Linked DNA regions of Elephas maximus indicus. The protein of the gene in region 2 interacts with the protein of the main gene of each other region in a pairwise test. Links are inferred from orthologs where the notes say so. Each region holds a gene or a part of one and is shown on either strand. Other genes may lie near its edges.

Region 1 (9,721 bases), on a different chromosome or scaffold from region 2:
TCATCCCTGCCCAGCAGGCTGCAGAAGGTGTGGTGGTACTTGTCCAGGTCCACATCTGACGTCCCAATGCCTACCATCTAGGAACAAGGCCAGGAGAGGGGCACATGGGGCTGGGGCTGATCCCGCACGCCTCACCTGGGGCCAATCCCCGCGTGTCTCTGGCAGTCAGCACTCACCATGTCAGTACCATAGACAGGCGAGGTCATCTTGATCTCCCAGAAATGCTGGCCCTCACCCAGCTCCTTGGTGCCCCGGATGGCTGCTGTGCCACAGCTGTATTCCACATGGAAGCTGACTTTGCGATTATCGCAGCTCAGGAGGGTGGCTGAGGACTTGTTCAGGTCATCCCAGACCCAGTCAAAGTCTGCAGGGGCGAAGGGCCAGCTGAGGTGGGCAGGGAGCCCCTCTCCCCCACCCTCCCCTCAACCTCCCCCAGTGCTCACGCTTATCCTCCTCCTTGTATGTCCCCCCTCCCCCAACCTTCCCAAACACTCATCCTCCCTGCAGGTCCTCCCCCAAGTCCTCCCCACGCACTCACGCTCGTCCTCCTCCCCACAGCGGCAGTCTTTGCCGCTGTGGGTGCTGTGCCGGCCGCCGCAGAAGGAGGCCTCACTCTGGCTGTCGCAGTCACAGAAGGACTCCCCGGTGACCGGCACAGCGCTGGGGATGGATGGCGGCAGGGACAAGAACTCAGGGTCGGAGTCTGAGTCGCTGTGCTGGGAAAGAAGGCAGGCTGTTCCCACCTCTGGCCTGCAGCCCTGTGCCAGCCCCTCCACACCCACCCTGCTGCACAGCCCCCTTGACGAGGCCCCTGCTGCAGCTTCCAGCTTCTGGGTATAGAAAAGTACTAGTCAGCTGAGCTGCCCCTACAGGACCCAGCCAGACACTCGGGTCCTTGTGCAAAGCTTGTCACACCCAATAGCCGAGTCACCCACAACCCCTCCTGGGGGCCAGCCAGCCTGCTTAGGGGTCTCTGAGCTGAGTCATCCTGCTCTGAAGCTATGCAGTGCCTCCAGTCTCCACACCTGAGCAGGTGGAGAGAGCCCCTGCCTGAAGCTCTGCGGCTCACTGGCCGCCACTGGGCTTTGCTTCTCCCCCCGCCCCACCACCACTCCACACTCTGCACCTAGACCCAAACAAGCTTTTAAAACACGCTACCGTGACACTCCGCCATGTCCCACCGCCCCCATCATGCCGTTCCACCACGCCCTAGAGTACCCGTGCCCCATCGAATCCTTCAAGAGCTCCCAGCCCAGATCTGCCTTCTGAACTCCACCTTCACTCCTCCCATGTGCAGCACGTGACCTCAGGGTCCCCCACCTGGGTCTTCCGATGCTCCTCCTCAGACCACCATTCCCCGGCTTTCTTCTTCTTATCCCTGAAACTCATCTGTCACCTGTCCCCTGACAAGGGAAGCCCAGCCCTTCTGTCTCTTTCCCGTCACACTCCAGGGCCCAGCACCATGGCCACACAGCAGCTAAACCAACTGAGCAAATAAACAGCAAAACGGGCATCTGCTGTGTCTCAAACCCATCACGGATGGACAGACAGACAATCATAAAGAAGACTGCAGGAGCTGGGGAGAGGAGAGGATGGGCCCAGGAAGAGAAGACACGGAGCCACAATGGTCGGGCTGGCAGGTCTGTTTTGAGAGCCGACTTAAGAATGGGACATGGTCCCATCTGCAGAATGGTCGCCACAGCAGGCCACGCAGGCCTAAGGGACTGCATCCCATTGCAGGGAATGGGACCCTCCACCCTAGGCTGAGGCCTCTGCCTCCTATGAACTAAGGAAGGGTATGTGTGCTATTCACCCCAGACACACTCACAGGCATGCAAGACCCATTAGGTGACAGGGGACAAAAAGCATGTATGTGTCACATCTGTACCATCAGTGGTCACATTCTGCATCCCACAGCAGTGAGTCTGTGCTCCAGACCACATGGTCAGTGTGGGGGCAGGGCAGGAGTGCAGGCCAGGCCTTCCCCTGGACAGCTCCCAAGGCTCACCAGCCACTCTCTGGGGGGACAAGGGGCCACTGATCTGGAGGAGAGGCACCCGCCCCTCCCAGCCCGGGGCACCTGTGCTGAGCAGAGGCCAAAGTCACCTCGGGCAGCCCTGCAGAAGACAGCTGGGGTGATTCAAGCTGGCTCCTACTCTGAGAGATGGAACCTATTCTTCTCCTGGCCTCACCAAACCTTCACCCACATGCTCTGCCTCTCCATGCTGCCCCTGCTGGGGCCAGAAAACCTGAACTGGGAGACAGATGTTCTCTGGACTGCCTCCTTGTTCCCACGGAGAGGCTCACATGGTAAGAAATTCTGATCATCAAGAACCAAAGCTCTTTTTCATGCACACGTACAGAACACTGTGTGTCTGGACAGGCCAAGGAAACATCTAGAAAGACATTCGCCAAGTTAACAATGGCTCTCTTCTGGAAATGAGTTGGATGCATGAAATTGAAACATTTTTGTTGGCCACAATCCCCAGTGTGCAGCCTCGCCCCAGTGTGGTCTTTGCAAGACAGAAGAGTGTTATTAAGGAGAACCTGGCACCTGTGCTGGGGCCCAGCCTCAGGGGCCTTCACTGGGTTGAAGAGCCTTGTCAGGCAGAGCATGCCCAGGGACAGTGGGACCTGGGCATCCATCCTCTTTCATCCCTGTCTAGGTCATGCCTGCTTCTCCACACCTCAGTCCAGCAGCACCCCCTCCTCACGGGGACCTACCTGCCCATCAGAGTCATAGCCCCAGTTAGCAGTGCCTGCCAGAGCCACAACCCGGGCATCGGCATCTCGGCGGGCTGCACTCAGGACAAAATGCCATGCCCGGCTGCTCCGGGGCCGCCTGGCCATGGCGGAGAGGACCTGGAAGAAAACACAGACCCCGAGAAAGGAAGGAAGACTCAGGATGCTGGACTGTCTCCCAACAGCCCTCTGTACTCTGTCCTTCACCCCTGTGCAGGCTCCCAGCTGCCCCTGCGGGCTGTGCCCACAGACCCACCCAAAGGTGGAGGTGTTCCCGGGCCACACGGATCCCATGGTCAGAGCTCCAGAACTCTCCACACAAGCCCACACCTCACTCCAGTATCTGAGTACCTCAATGAAAACCAGGCAGATGGTGTGCAAAACCTTCCACAAGTCCATGACTCTCCACGGCACATCTCAGCCCATCTCCCTCTGAGCTCATCCTCACCTACCCCACGTCTCACCCACTTGCACTTCAGGCATTTCCAGCCTTGGCTGACTCCTCCTCCTCCAGTGTCCAGTTTGGCAAATGAAATCTCCAAGCACGTAGTTCCTCATGCCAGACATCCCTGACACCTCCTCCATCCCCTCATGGCCCGCATCAACTCAGTATCTCCAAGCCCTGACTACCTCAACTCGTCCATGTTCTTCACCTCCATCCCAACCCAGGACCTCCCCTGGACCACACATCTGTCTGCCTCACCCTCCTCCCAGATCCTTAACACACAGCCAGACTTGCTCTTGAAAAATTAATCTGAATCTTACCATGCCTTCAGGCCTTCCCATTATTCTTAAGATAAAATGCAGAATTCTACAGAGCCTCCAGAGTTCTCAGCTTCCCCAAGCCATACTGGCCTTGGTTCAGTGACCAGCTTTCTCCTACTCTTCTCTCACTGCTGCTCTGATTACCACGGTCCTACTGAAACAGGCTGCTCAGCCATATCCTGAACAGTACCTGTGCCATTTTTCCCCTTCTTCTTTCCCTTCCCAGGCTGTCTCTGTTTCCAGGTAGGATTTTCCTGTTAGCTCCTCCAAAAGGTTAACCAGTGTTTCCCCTAGGACCTTGGAAAACAAGTGATATGGATCTAATAAGCCTGTCAACAAGATGAAGCTGATGGGATAATAGCAGGAAGAGATCAACATGTTTGAAACCAAACAGAAAGAGAATGCACATTCCACGAGTTCCTAAAACTTATAGCCCCTTTTCCCTTGAAAACCCTAGCTGACCTGTAGTTCTGAGAGACAGACAGCTAGCTTTAGGAGATCATTCCCCTCTGCCTCCATATATCGGTAAATACCGGTATATCTAATAAACTTCTTGCTACCCACCTCACCCGGTCTCAAGAATTGGCTGTTTGCAGCATGCGGCTAACTAGGGAAATTGTGGTAACACTACCTTCCGTTATCAATTCCACCCAACCTAAAGCAATATGTGGCCTTCCGTGATGGTGTATACCTGCCTCTCCCTCGGGCGGGAAAGCCTACAAGGCCCCTGCCAGACACCCAAAAGGTGCCTTGTCCGCTGAATGAATGAGCTGGGTGGGGGGGGGGGAGGCGGGGGGGAAGGCCCTCCCTAGCCTGAGCCACTGGTTCCTGGTGATGGGAGTCCTGCTGTTCTCCATAAACATCTGGCCTGCACCAGAGCCTCCAGTCTCCAACTATGGTTGGAGCAGTTACAATCGGCCCCAAACGGCTTAATCGCTATTCGCTACACTGGTACCACACAGTGGGCGCCACGTGACCCAGACTGAATGAATGACCCAACGAGCTTGTCACCCACAGCGAAGTCCCGACAACACGCTCCCCAATCTTCACGTAACCGGACGGTCGCCATATCCCGATTCTCGCGAGCTCGTACTGATTTCAGTTTCGGGGTGCCGTTTCCGGAAGTTACCCCCCAAATCGGGGGGGAGGGCCCCCTAACCCGAGGCAGTGCGCAGAGCGCCCGACGCAGCCGTCCTTCCGGGGCCCCGGAGATGGACGAGGGTCTAAGAGGGAGCGCGGCCCGCCTGGTGGCCGCGGACAAAGCGCAGGGCGGGCTGGGAGCAGGCGCCGTGCCCGGGTAGCCGGAGGAACAAAGGTTGGGCGCGCCCTCCCGAGCCCGCGACGCCAGGGCAGGCCCGGCCGCGCCGCCGCGCTCACCTGGCGCTGCTCTGCCTCCGCCGTCGCCGCGCTCCCTGCCCGCGGTGACCTACTTTCCGCTCCGAGCGAGACGTCAACAATCCCCGCCCCGCGCCGCATTGGCCGGCCCGCGGGAGGCGGGCTCCAGCTCAGGCTTGGACCGGGGGTCGGGACTCGCGGGGCACGGCTCCTGCCGATAGGCTGCAGGGCCCGTTAGTCCCGAACCGAAGTCTCCATTGGCCACGCCTGAATCCGTCGGAGAGAAGGCCCCCGCACCCATTGGGCGCGGATTGCGGGAGGGAGGCGGTCCCAACTTGGGGCGTTGACAGGGAAGTGGACCCATCTCCTCCACGTCATCCGGCGCCGGAACTCGCGCGCACAGCTCGGGCGGTCTGATTAGCTGAGGGCAGCAGGACTAGGCCTATGAAGAGGCGCCGGGGGGCGGGCTCGCGCTGCCCACTGGCCCGAGGGCTCTTCACTCCTGCTGGGAGGCGGGCGGTCCGCGGGCGGAAACCCAGAGACGCAGGAGGTGGCGGATGGAGGCGGTGGCGGGTGAGTATGCGAGACTTGAAAAACAACTCAGGAAGGTTATCAGTCAAGCATGTAGGGATAGGAAATATGGCCCCTTATCTTGTCTAAGCACCTAGTTTGTTAGTCACAAGTGTCTTCGAGTGCCAGCAGTAAAAGTTATATGGTGGTCTGCACTTAGGTTTAGATTCCAAAAACACTGAATTAGAAGTTATTTAATTGTAGCCAGTCCGATCTCTTGCCTGTCTCAGTCACGGTTCAACTAGGTTACACCTGGCTCTCTCACTTTCGAGCGTTTCCAGCAGAACCCCCTCCCCCAGCAACGAAGGTGAACCTGCAGCCTTGCACAGTATCCTCCCACGTGCCTGTTGGTGTTACCTTAAGCATTAGTGTTTGCTGGGCAGCTTGGGTGTGATGTCGCCTAAGACGAGATCATGGCCTATAGTTCACAAAGTTTGTGTTAAGGTCCCGCCAGGAGGGCCAGGTCAGGCCCTGCGAGTACCTCGGGGAGATATTGGAGGGGTGGGAGGAGGGATGGGATTCTACCCACAACCACCTTCCGGGAAAGGCGGGCACCCAGGAGAGCAGCTGAGCAGAGGCCTGGGCAGGGTGGAGGGCACCTGATTGGAATATGGAGGCCAGGCAGACGGTGTTTGTGACCATCCCTGATTCATTTGGTGAAGTTTCTTGCTCAGTGGAAGGAAAAGGAGCAGGGCAGGTGGTCAAAGACCCAAAGGAGAGTTTTGGGGGGGGGGCCTGTGTGGAATGCGGCCAAAGACATTAGTGGGTGGGTGCCTTCGGGGTGGGGCACAGGGGCAACAAGAGTGTGGACTCAGCCAGTCAGGCAGTGCTGATGCTTGCATAGCAAGGGCCGTCTGGTGACCTGGGTCTCAGGTGCTGGCACTCACCCTCCCCCCCCGCCCCCGCAATTGGAGCCCCAGTGTCTGCCTCAGGGCCTCTTCTGCACTAACCTGGGTCCTAGGAGGTGGAGAGGGGCAACCTCAGGCCCAGATTCAGTCATGTCTTGGGCCTGGTCACTGAGAGGAGGCACAGCAGCCTCCAGGCATAGGTGCACCTTGAGGCCACGAAGACGGCAGCTTTGTTGGTCTCCAAGTGTTTCTCCGTTGGAATTAGAGGGAGCTGGCATCTCAGGCTTGTCTTGTCTCCAAGCGTGAGTGCACACCACTTCTGCAGTACATACACACATGCGCACACCTGCACACATAGACGCTCTCTAAAGAGGCTTCCTGGTCTTCGGCAGCCAGGCTTCAGGCAGGAGTGGGTGCTATGGCGTTCACGGGAGCAGCGGATGGGCTGTGGAGCCTCCTGCCAGCCTCATTTGCTCAGTGTCGGGTGTGGGGGCCGTGACCCCAGAGCCCAGAGGTGGGAGTACACAGTGAGCCCGTAGGGGGAATGGTGAGGAGTGGCTGGCATATTGGGACCTCCTGACCTTTATGTCTCTTGTTCTGACAAGAGCCTGGGAACCTGGCCGGCGTCCGGCACATCATCCTTGTGCTCTCGGGAAAGGGTGGTGTAGGGAAGAGCACCATCTCCACTGAGCTGGCCCTGGCCCTGCGCCACGCGGGCAAGAAGGTGAGCACTGTGCCTCCAGGCCACTCATCCCCCCTGCGCCTGCCACCCCTGTCCTCCTGAGCGTGGTCCTCACTGGCTACACCGCCTGCAGGTGGGCATCCTAGATGTGGATCTGTGTGGGCCCAGCGTGCCACGCATGCTGCAGGCGCAGGGCTGCGCTGTGCACCAGTGTGACAACGGCTGGGTGCCAGTGTTTGTGGACCAGGAACAGAGCATTGCTCTCATGTCCGTGGGCTTCCTGCTGGAGACACCCGATGAGGCCGTGGTGTGGAGGGGCCCCAAGAAAAATGGTAATGGGGCCCAAGTCCTCAGCAGTCCCATGCCAGCTGTCATGGGGAGTTGGCAACATCCCGGCTGTGCCGGGTAGGCTTCTGTGAATCGTGGGATGAGGCGGGCGCATGGTGCTGGGGCCTGTGTGGTTGAGGCCATCATTCTTGAGCCACCAATCTGCAGTGTTGGGGCACTCATTGGGGGCTCGGGTGCCTCTGGCCCATCAGACGGCAGCAACAACCCCCGCCTCCCCCCGCCATCAGGTCAGCGATGTAGTTGGAAGCCTGGACCGCCTGCCGGTATCAAAAGCCAGCCTAGGGCCAGTCAGCCATGGCACTCCCTGCAGGGCCAGCTCCCTGGGCCGGGACACTTGGGGCCATCCTGTGTCTAGAGCAGACATCAGCCAACCGCTCCTGGGTGGGGCGGGGAGAGGGACAGTGTGCTGGGGACCTCTGCATGTGCTTCTCCTCCTGGCAGTGGCCTTGCTTTTGGGGTCCAGGCCCTGTTGATAGCGCTGTCTGCACTGGAGGCTGCAAGAGGCTGGGGCTTCTCTGGACAAACGCCTCATGAGCCCCCGGGGTTCTGGGTGGTCTCTGCAGCACTGATAAGGCAGTTTGTGTCGGACGTGGTGTGGGGGGAGTTGGACTTCCTGGTGGTGGACACGCCCCCAGGTACCTCTGATGAGCACATCTCGGCTGTGGAGGCCCTGCGTCCGTACCAGCCCTTGGGCGCAGTTCTGGTTACCACACCCCAGGTGAGTGAGCACCAAGCTCCAAACATGCAGCCCCTCCTGGCAGGTGGGGGCGGTGGCCTCCCTCTCTCCAGCAGAGCTGCATGTAGAGCCCCAGACGCTGTCTTGGCCCCCAGGCGGTGTCTGTGGGGGATGTGCGGCGGGAGCTGACCTTCTGCAGGAAGACAGGGCTGCCAGTGATCGGCATTGTGGAAAACATGAGCGGTTTCGTCTGCCCGCACTGCGCGGTGAGGCGCCCGGCCGTCGGGTGGGCAGGGTACAGGGGCACAAGGGGCCTGCACTCATGGCCCCATCCCTCTGTCCAGGAGTGTACTAATCTCTTCTCCGTGGGAGGCGGGGAGGAGCTGGCCAGGCACGCTGGGGTTCCCTTTCTAGGTGAGTGCCAGGTGGGGGGTAGTGGGGTCCCTGTCAACTGTGGGAGCATGCCTGCTGGGACCCCAAGATGCAGGGGGCAGGACAGGCACTCCCTGCCCAGGCTAAACCTCAGGGCTGCCCTTTGGATGAACACTGAGGCAGGTGTCCACGCGCTGGGCAGTACTGAGCTAGCCCATGGGAGGTACAGCATCCGGGTGGAAGTGAGCCCCCGCAGAGTGCCAGCCTGGGGCATCTGCTCTCTCAAGGAGGCGCTGGCTTCCAGGGTGGGGGTGCATGGCGGTGACCCGAGCCTCCCCAGGCCCTGCCCTCCCTTCCCCCGTCTCCTCATCTTCACAGGCTCCGTGCCTCTGGACCCCCAGCTTGTGAGGAGCCTGGAAGAGGGCCGGGACTTCATCCAGGAGTTCCCCAAGAGTGCTGCCTTCCCTGCACTTGCCTCCATTGCCCAGAAGATCCTGGATGGGGCACAGGTGCAGGCGCAGACAGGCACTGACTGAGGTGCCCTGCCAGCTCTCCTGTCTCCTGGGCTTTCCCATGCTGCTGTGGAGCTCATGCACGAGGGCCAGAACAGGGGGCCTGGAGGGGTGCAGGACCTACATAAGCTGGTCCAGCAGCATCTGTGCCTCCCACCCCCACCAGACTGCGTTCAGAGACCTTTCCAGTGTTTGAGCAGTGTGGGCGGGGTCCTGGTAGCCTTGAGAGATGGCACCACATCCAAGTTGCATGGGGAGATGCCATGTTCCCAAAGGGACCAGCTTCTGACACCTGTGCCCCACATGGCGTGGAGCTGCTCTGTTGTCCTTGCTGACCCTGGGCCTGCCACGTTGGGGGGTGGCTGCCAGGCCTGGAGACACCCTGCACTGCACCATTAAACAGACACCTACGTATGTGACGTCTCTACTGTCTTGTCTAATCTGCTCTCCTGTGTGTGTCTCTCAGTGAGCCTCTGGGTTCTGTGAATCCAGAGTGAGAAAACGTTCGAACTGAGGGCAGGAGGGTGCTTGTGGTTGCTGTGGAGGTGTTAGAGAAACACGTGAGTGGGGCCACCACGGGGACCCTGGGACCAAGCTGGGAGAGGGTGATGCCCTGAAGGGCACAGTGAAGTTGAGGGCCATTTTCCACGTGAGCTGAGAGGCCCAGGGGCTTTCTTGCACCTTTGCCTGGTGAGGACAGTGTGGCAGGCCGAGTGCTGGCTGGGGCTGTGTCTCCAAAGGGAGGAGTTGGTGCAGCTCCTGGGGATGGAGTGGGCTTGGGGAGATAGGACAGGGTGGGAAGGTGAGGGGGCCTCCTGGTCGGATGGTGGGGCACGTGTCTGAGTTGCAGGCAAGGCTAGGGCTGCAGAGA
Region 2 (8,899 bases):
AGATATGGATCTCTTCCAGCTGGTTGGCCAGGTAGCTGTCTTCCAAATTTCTTGGCACAGATGAGTGAGCACTTGCAGCACCGGATCCATTTGTTGACACATCTCAGTTGGTATTCCATCAATTCCCGGAGCCTTGTTTTTCCCCAATGCCTTCCGTGCACCTTGGACCGCTTCCTTCAGTACCATCAGTTCCTGATCATATGCTACCTCCTGAAATGGTTGAACGTCGACCAATTCTTCTGATATAGTGACATCTTTTTTTGATATGCTTCCTGCGCCATTACTGAGGCTAATCCCACCTCATTAACATCACAGAGATAGGATTTACAACATGTAGGAAAATCACATCAGATGACAAATTGGTAGAGAATCACACGATACTGTGACTCATGGACTAGCCAAGTTGACACACGTTTCTGGAGGACATAATTCAATCCATAACAATATGTCCCTCAATAAAAAAGTCAAAGAAACCTCGAGAACTACTGAGAATGATGATGATGATGACTACATTTTCATGACGGCTCCTTCTGTGCCATGCATTGTTTGAAACGCTTTGTATTAATCTACTGTCTTAGGCTGGCTTCTCTAGAGAAGTAAAACCAGTAAAACATATTAATACGTATATAGAGAAAAATTTACGTTAAGGAAATGGCTCATGTGGTTGTAGAGGCTGGAACGTCCCAAGTCTGTGGATCAGGATAGAGGCCACAGGAGCTGGCAAACCCCAGATCAGCACATCAGAGACCAGGGCTGTTGTTCACGGTCTGTGAAGACTGACAAATCCCCAGATCGGCAGGCAAGGCCACAGGTAAGCTGCTAGCTCAAGCCCAAGAACTGCAGGTCAGATGAACAGGAGCCAGCTGCAGGATCTAGAATGTGCAAAAGCCCCCAAGCCCTGCCAGAACGTCCACTTATATTGGATGCAGGCCACACACCCAAGGAAACTCCCTTTCAACTAACTGGCTACTCACCGCAGATCCTATCATGAGGGCGACCACATATCAAATCTCAAAATGGCAGTGATCACAACGACTGCCAAAACACTGATAATCATGGCCCAGCCAAGTTGACACACAATCTTAACCATGACACCTACTCTAGACTCACAATAATCTCCTAGGTTAGGAACAATGATCACCAGTTACCAGATGCCATCAAGGTGAGTCTGACTCATGGCCACTCCATGTGTGTCAGAGTAAAACTGTGCGCCATCAGAGTTTTCAGTGGCTGATTTTTCAGAAGTAGATGACCAGGCCTTTCTTCCAAGGTGTCTCTGGGTGGACTCAAACCTCTAACCTTTCAGTGAGCAACGGAGTGCATCACTAATTTGCACTACCTAGGGACTCCCAGGACAAGGATTAGGAACTGTGATAACATCCCGTTCTCCAGATGAGGAAACCACGCACAGAGGGGTAAGGGACTTGACCGAGTTCACGCAGCCAGCCGGTGGGGCACGGGGGGTGGGATGCCAGGGGCTGGGAGAGACGAGTGGCTGGCTCTGGTGGTACTCACGGAGTCCTTGAGCGCCAGGAAACAGTGGCAGATCCAGCGTCGGGTGGTCCCATCACGGCAGATATAGGAGAAAGCTTTGTCCAGGTTGCGGTCAGGAGCACAAAAGGAGACCTTTTCGATGGTCTGGTCTACCAGCAGGTCCTGCGAAAGAACCAGGGAGGGCGGGAGAAGGAAATGAAGTGTCTAACATGCACTCATTTAACATTTCCTCAGTGTCTGCTCGATGGCCAATCCTGAACAGGGTGGGGACCCAGCACTCACTGAGACAGTAAGGGGATCAGATCCACATAGGGACAGCCCAGAGTCGCTGAGGCTACAATTGGGGTGGGATGGGGGAGCCACGGGGGAGGTGGACAGCCAGGATAGGGAGGCACAGGAGGATGGGGGGAATGGACAGAGAGGTCAAGCCAGGAGTGGAGGTGGGGGCTGGGACAAGGGAGGCACAGGCAGAGGGTAAGGAAGGGGCAGGCACAGGCAGAGGGGTACAGCCCGGCTGGGGAAGGCACAGGCAGAGGGGTTGGGCCTGGATGGGGGTGCACGGGCAAAGCGGTTGGGACACAGGTGGAGGGGTCAGGCCAGGATGGGGGGTCACGAGCAGAGGGCTTGGGGCACAGGTGGAGGGGTTGTGCCGGGATGGGGGGCACAGGCAGAGGGGTCGGGTCTATGATGGTCGGAGGCGGGGCACAGTGGTTAGGGCTGGCATTGGGCGGGGTGTGGGGCTGTGGGAGTCAGGACAGCTACGGAGGCAGAGCTTCCTGGTGGAGGAATTAACTAAGCAGAAAGGCAGGGAACAGTATTTCTGGCAGAAGGAACTTCCTATGCAAATATGGTGATCTGTTCATCAACCCAATTCCCATCACATCTGGGTGCCCCCTCTGGCAGTATCTGGGCCCCAGGCAGAGGATTCAATGGTGAGCAAACAGACACCCAGATGCTGGCCCCACGGTGCTCCAGGTCTGGCTGGGCAGACTGACACTTATAGAGCTGAGTGCTCACGATGCATCGCGCACGGATTTCAGCACATTACATATATTTTCTCACTTAATGGTAGGGTCTGTTTTCATTCTGATTTTATAAGTGAGGCGTGTGAGGCACAGAGGCAAGAAATTTCGTAGCCAGGGTCACCCAGCTAGTAAGCAGATGAACTGAGCTCCAACAGTCCCCCTACTGTCTATACCAGCTCACAAATAACCACAGGAATCATCTCTGAATTATGGCTGTCAGGTGGGCCAGGAAGGTGGGTCAGGGACCTTGCGGGAGGGACGTCCCAGACGTGGGTGGGAAGGTACCCTCAGCCCTGATTCCAGCAGGGAGAGGAGGAGAGAGGCTGACTAGTACCCACTCCCACAGGCCCCCTACCTTGGTCTTGTCATCCACCACTCGGAGCCCATCGGCTGACACCCACAGGACAGACTTCACGGATTTCCGGCCCATCTGGGGTGGTGGGGGACAAAGAGGCCTGGTCAGGGCTGCCTTGGCTGGCCTGAGCTTGCCCCTCCCTGGCTCCAGGCCGTCACTTACCGCCTTCAGCTTCTTCACAGCATCTTCACACACGTGCATCCCCCGGGACTCCTCCACCTCCACGTGGCCCAGGTACTGAAGAAGAGGACAGCAGGACCAGAAAAAAGCAGTTTTCAATAATTCCTGTGTTCATTGAGCACTTGCGATGCACCAGGCAACGTTCCAAACACATTGTACATGTTAACTTGTTTACTCTGGACCTCATCTCTACAAGGAGCGTACCCCCTTTTTATCCCAGTTATACAGATGTGAGGAGCCCTGGTGGCGCAGTGGCTAAGCACTTGGCTGCTAACTGGAAGGTCAGCGGTTCAAACCTACCAGTTGCTCCACAGGAGAAAGATGTGGCACCTGCTTCCGTAAAGACTGTAGCCTTGGAAGCCCTATGGGGTAGTTCTACTCTGTCCTATAGGGTCGTCATGAGTCGGAATCAACTCAACAACAAAGAGTTTGGTTTTTTTATGGTTTACACAGATGAGAAAACTGAAGCACAATGTGTAGCCATGCCCTGCCCTGGTGGCGCAGTGATTAAGCGCTCAGCTGCTAACCAAAAGGTCAGCAGTTTGAATCCATCAGCCGTTCCTTGGAAACCCTATGGGGCAATTCTACTCTGCCCTATAGGGTTGCTATGAGTCAGAATCCACTCAACGGCAATGGGTTTTGTTTCGTTTTTGGGTTTTTCCCCCATATTCCTAAGCCTTAACACTTCACTGTTGTCCTTGAGTACCAGTATCTCTGCGCCTGTGGCCTGCTCCCAGGCTGCATAAGACTGCTTGTCCACCCTTACAACAGGTATATCTTCGAAATGACTGATGGACTGATGTACACAGGCTCTCTGTTTCCCAGAGTTCCTCAGAGGGATTAAGCTTCAGCTGTCCGCAACTGCAGTTTAATAACACACTTTATTGGATTACCTACCTTCCTTACTCCCACCAGCGTTTCCTGCACCTCCCAAATGAACCCTTCACACTCAGGTCTATTTCTGGGGGAAAGGATAAGGCAGAGGGGCTATGACCATCGTCTGTCGCCACACAACCTGGAAGGGGCCGAGCGGGGATTTGAACTCAAATCGGCTGAACTCCACAGTCCATGCCCTGAATCCTGCTGTCTCCCATACGAAAGTGTAGCTTAGGTCATAAAGAGTCATGGTTGCCATAATCCAGAAAGCATTTCACAGCAGTGGATTCCGCAAATGTTACAGGATTTTTGTGCTCTTTGGAAATTGTGAGCTCCTGCTTAACAGGTGACACCCTCCCTGCTCACTGTTTCCCAGGTAATATTTTCCTGGTGCAAGACAATGTCTCTCTGTTTTTCACCATCTTCAAAAGGCCCGTGAGGTGGTGGCCTATTCTGGTAAGCTCCACAGTTCTTTGAGAATGTAAGGTCTCTGCCTCACAGAATAGGGCCTTAGTGATCTAGCCCAAACCCAAACCCATTGCTGTTGAGTCCATTCTGACTCTTTGTGACCCTATAGGACATGGCAGAACTGCCCCATAGGGTCTACAAGCAGTGACTGGTGGATTGAACTGCTGACCTTTTGGTTACAACCAAGCTCTCAACCATCTAGCCCCAAAACCCGTTGCCATCGAGTCCATTCAGACCCATAGTGACCCTACAGGAAAGAGGAGAACTGCCCCATAGGGTTTCCAAGGAGTGGCTGGTGGATTCAAACTGTCAACCTTTGGGTTAGCAGCCCTAGCTCTTAACCACTGTACCACCAGGACTCCAACTAACCATCTAGCCCCGCCGCCCCCCCGCAAAAGGCTGCCCTAGTGCCCCAGTGCCCTGTGCCCAGCAGCCCCGCCCCCTCCGCCCCAGCGCCACCCTGGCCCCACACTCACCCTGACTGGAAAGCTGCACGTGCCCTTGCGTACCGCATCCTCATCCGCCTGCCATTGGTGCGGGCGTGAGGCCTCGGGCACGTAAGCTGGCTTCCTCCGCCTCAGGCTCTGGCGTAACTTGTTCATGGTGCCCGCACCGTCTGGTGACACAGGTCAGGGCCGTGGGTCAGGGGCGTGGGGTTCAAGGGACAGGGACGTAGTACTCAGGAAGCAGAGAGTCAGAGAACGTGTGAATTGGGTCACAGTGTTAGAGGGCCACTGGGTGAGAGGACATAGCTTTCAGAGAGCATAGGTTTGCAGCTCGTGGTCAGGGGACACAGAGTTCAAAAGACATGGGGAAAGGAGACACTAGAAGGCAGGGAGGGTGAGCACAGAAGCAATGGGCATCAGAAGACACAGGGGTAAGAAGCACAGAGGTCTGGGATGGGGGTCATGGGTCACAGGTTTGAGGTGTTTGGAGGCTGGGGGATATGACAGAAAGGAATGAGGATCCAAAGGATCAGAAGTTAAGGCACTGGAGGGCACAGAGGTCATGGGTTATAAGGTCAGGGTTTTAGGGGTATGAGGGTCAGGGGATGGGGCAGTCAGAGGGCACTGGAATTAGTAGTTGCATGGGTTAGGGGCACAAGAGTCCAGTGTGTGGGACACAGGGGTCAAGGGGTTCAGAAGGTCCGGGGACTAAGGACTGGGACCCAGGGTCCAGACGGCACGGGAGATAGGGGCTTGTCTCTGTGCCTTGGAGACACAGCTGGTCTCTCAACGCCTGCGTCTACTCTGAGGCAGGGTCCCTGGGGCCCGTGCCTGTCAGTGGTATGGGGGGTGTGTATGTGTGTGGGGGTGGGTGGGTGGGTGGGTGGGTGGGTGTGGGTGGGTGGGTGGGTGTGGGTGGGTGGGTGGGTGGGTGTGTGTGTGTATGTGTGTGTGTGAAGTGGCCAGCCACCCGGACAGTCTTCCTGGACTGACAAGCCACACTGAAGAGTCCCAGGAGGAGAGTAAGGTGCCTCCATGGTAAGGGGACACACGACACCCAGGACTGGGAACACCCCCAGCAGATGAAGACTATGCCCGTGTGCAAGTAAGGATGCAGCTGTTGTCTATGAGTGTATATTCTTGAATGGTGTCTATATGTGTTCTCTGAAGGTCGTACAGAAAAATGCATGTCGGACAATGGCTGTTTATACTGTGTCTATGAATGTTGTTCATGAGATCTGTCTCCCAAAGCGTGGTGGTTCTCTATGAGGCTGTGTGTACCTGAAGGTTGTTGCTGAAGGCCATCTATGTCTGAGAGTGGTTGTGTGTCAGTGAATGTTGTCTCTGAGGGGTTGTTGTCTCTGAGAGCTTGTGTGCCTATGAATGTTGTCTGTGTCCGTTGCTATGAGAGCTTGTGTGTCAGTGAATGTTGTCCATGAGGGGTGCCTATGCCCACTGTTATCTACGGAAGCTTGTGTCAGTGAACGTCATCCGTGAGGGGTGTCTATGTCCGCTGTTGTCTGTGAGAGCTTGTATCACAGAATGTTGTCCATGAGGGATGTCTACATCCATTGTTTTCTATGGGAGCTTGCGTCAGAGAATGCTCTCCGTGAGGGGTGACTATGTCTGCTGTCGTCTATGAAAGCTTGTGTCAGTGAACGTTGTCCGTGAGGGGTGACTATGTCTGCTGTTGTCTATGAAAGCTTGTGTCAGTGAACGTTGTCCGTGAGGGGTGACTATGTCTGCTGTTGTCTGTGAAAGCTTGTGTCAGTGAACGTTGTCCGTGAGGGGTGACTATGTCTGCTGTTGTCTATGAAAGCTTGTGTCAGTGAACGTCATCCGTGAGGGGTGTCTATGTCCGCTGTTGTCTGTGAGAGCTTGTATCACAGAATGTTGTCCATGAGGGATGTCTACATCCATTGTTTTCTATGGGAGCTTGCGTCAGAGAATGCTCTCCGTGAGGGGTGACTATGTCTGCTGTCGTCTATGAAAGCTTGTGTCAGTGAACGTTGTCCGTGAGGGGTGACTATGTCTGCTGTTGTCTATGAAAGCTTGTGTCAGTGAACGTTGTCCGTGAGGGGTGACTATGTCTGCTGTTGTCTATGAGAGCTTGTGTCAGTGAACGTTGTCCGTGAGGGGTGACTATGTCTGCTGTTGTCTATGAGAGCTTGTGTCAGTGAACGTTGTCCGTGAGGGGTGACTATGTCTGCTGTTGTCTATGAGAGCTTGTGTCAGTGAATGTTGTCCGTGAGGGGTGACTATGTCTGCTGTTGTCTATGAAAGCTTGTGTCAGTGAATGTTGTCCGTGAGGGGTGACTATGTCTGCTGTTGTCTATGAAAGCTTGTGTCAGTGAATGTCGTCCGTGAGGGGTGACTATGTCTGCTGTTGTCTATGAAAGCTTGTGTCAGTGAACGTCATCCGTGAGGGGTGTCTATGTCCGCTGTTGTCTGTGAGAGCTTGTATCACAGAATGTTGTCCATGAGGGATGTCTACATCCATTGTTTTCTATAGGAGCTTGCGTCAGAGAATGCTCTCCGTGAGGGGTGACTATGTCTGCTGTTGTCTATGAAAGCTTGTGTCAGTGAACGTTGTCCGTGAGGGGTGACTATGTCTGCTGTTGTCTATGAAAGCTTGTGTCAGTGAACGTTGTCCGTGAGGGGTGACTATGTCTGCTGTTGTCTATGAAAGCTTGTGTCAGTGAACGTTGTCCGTGAGGGGTGACTATGTCTGCTGTTGTCTATGAAAGCTTGTGTCAGTGAACGTTGTCCGTGAGGGGTGACTATGTCTGCTGTTGTCTATGAGAGCTTGTGTCAGTGAACGTTGTCCGTGAGGGGTGACTATGTCTGCTGTTGTCTATGAGAGCTTGTGTCAGTGAACGTCGTCCGTGAGGGGTGACTATGTCTGCTGTTGTCTATGAAAGCTTGTGTCAGTGAATGTCGTCCGTGAGGGGTGACTATGTCTGCTGTTGTCTATGAAAGCTTGTGTCAGTGAACGTCATCCGTGAGGGGTGTCTATGTCCGCTGTTGTCTGTGAGAGCTTGTATCACAGAATGTTGTCCATGAGGGATGTCTACATCCATTGTTTTCTATGGGAGCTTGCGTCAGAGAATGCTCTCCGTGAGGGGTGACTATGTCTGCTGTTGTCTATGAAAGCTTGTGTCAGTGAACGTTGTCCGTGAGGGGTGACTATGTCTGCTGTTGTCTATGAAAGCTTGTGTCAGTGAACGTTGTCCGTGAGGGGTGACTATGTCTGCTGTTGTCTATGAAAGCTTGTGTCAGTGAACGTTGTCCGTGAGGGGTGACTATGTCTGCTGTTGTCTATGAAAGCTTGTGTCAGTGAACGTTGTCCGTGAGGGGTGACTATGTCTGCTGTTGTCTATGAAAGCTTGTGTCAGTGAACGTTGTCCGTGAGGGGTGACTATGTCTGCTGTTGTCTATGAAAGCTTGTGTCAGTGAACGTTGTCCGTGAGGGGTGACTATGTCTGCTGTTGTCTATGAGAGCTTGTGTCAGTGAACGTTGTCCGTGAGGGGTGACTATGTCTGCTGTTGTCTATGAGAGCTTGTGTCAGTGAATGTTGTCCGTGAGGGGTGACTATGTCTGCTGTTGTCTATGAAAGCTTGTGTCAGTGAATGTTGTCCGTGAGGGGTGACTATGTCTGCTGTTGTCTATGAAAGCTTGTGTCAGTGAATGTTGTCCGTGAGGGGTGACTATGTCTGCTGTTGTCTATGAAAGCTTGTGTCAGTGAACGTTGTCCGTGAGGGGTGACTATGTCTGCTGTTGTCTATGAAAGCTTGTGTCAGTGAACGTTGTCCGTGAGGGGTGACTATGTCTGCTGTTGTCTATGAGAGCTTGTGTCAGTGAACGTTGTCCGTGAGGGGTGACTATGTCTGCTGTTGTCTATGAGAGCTTGTGTCAGTGAACGTTGTCCGTGAGGGGTGACTATGTCTGCTGTTGTCTATGAGAGCTTGTGTCAGTGAACGTTGTCCGTGAGGGGTGACTATGTCTGCTGTTGTCTATGAGAGCTTGTGTCAGTGAACGTTGTCCGTGAGGGGTG

The links.
Region 1: the proteins of NUMBL (region 2) and SPSB3 interact in binary tests that used the Homo sapiens proteins (3 or more experiments, as listed by UniProt). The two-hybrid records come from large-scale screens. The link is inferred for Elephas maximus indicus from reciprocal best matches to the Homo sapiens genes NUMBL and SPSB3.

Annotation. Positions count from the first base shown.
Region 1 is NC_064830.1:58,863,723-58,873,443, forward strand, and holds the start of SPSB3 (SPRY domain-containing SOCS box protein 3), read right to left. Parts: upstream 4,507-9,721; 5' UTR 3,707-4,506; coding exon of another isoform or gene 3,698-3,706; 5' UTR 3,142-3,697; coding exon 2,725-3,141; intron 717-2,724; coding exon 539-716; intron 365-538; coding exon 177-364; intron 78-176; coding exon 1-77. Other genes in the region: cytosolic Fe-S cluster assembly factor NUBP2, read left to right, coding at 5,400-5,415, 6,866-6,984, 7,076-7,274, 7,854-8,008, 8,122-8,232, 8,311-8,380, 8,717-8,874.
Region 2 is NC_064829.1:110,969,077-110,977,975, reverse strand, and holds the start of NUMBL (numb-like protein), read right to left. Parts: upstream 4,181-8,899; coding exon 4,070-4,180; intron 3,112-4,069; coding exon 3,037-3,111; intron 2,950-3,036; coding exon 2,875-2,949; intron 1,657-2,874; coding exon 1,516-1,656; intron 1-1,515. Other genes in the region: COQ8B (atypical kinase COQ8B, mitochondrial), read right to left, coding at 4,997-5,014. UniProt on the Homo sapiens protein: Plays a role in the process of neurogenesis. Required throughout embryonic neurogenesis to maintain neural progenitor cells, also called radial glial cells (RGCs), by allowing their daughter cells to choose progenitor over neuronal cell fate.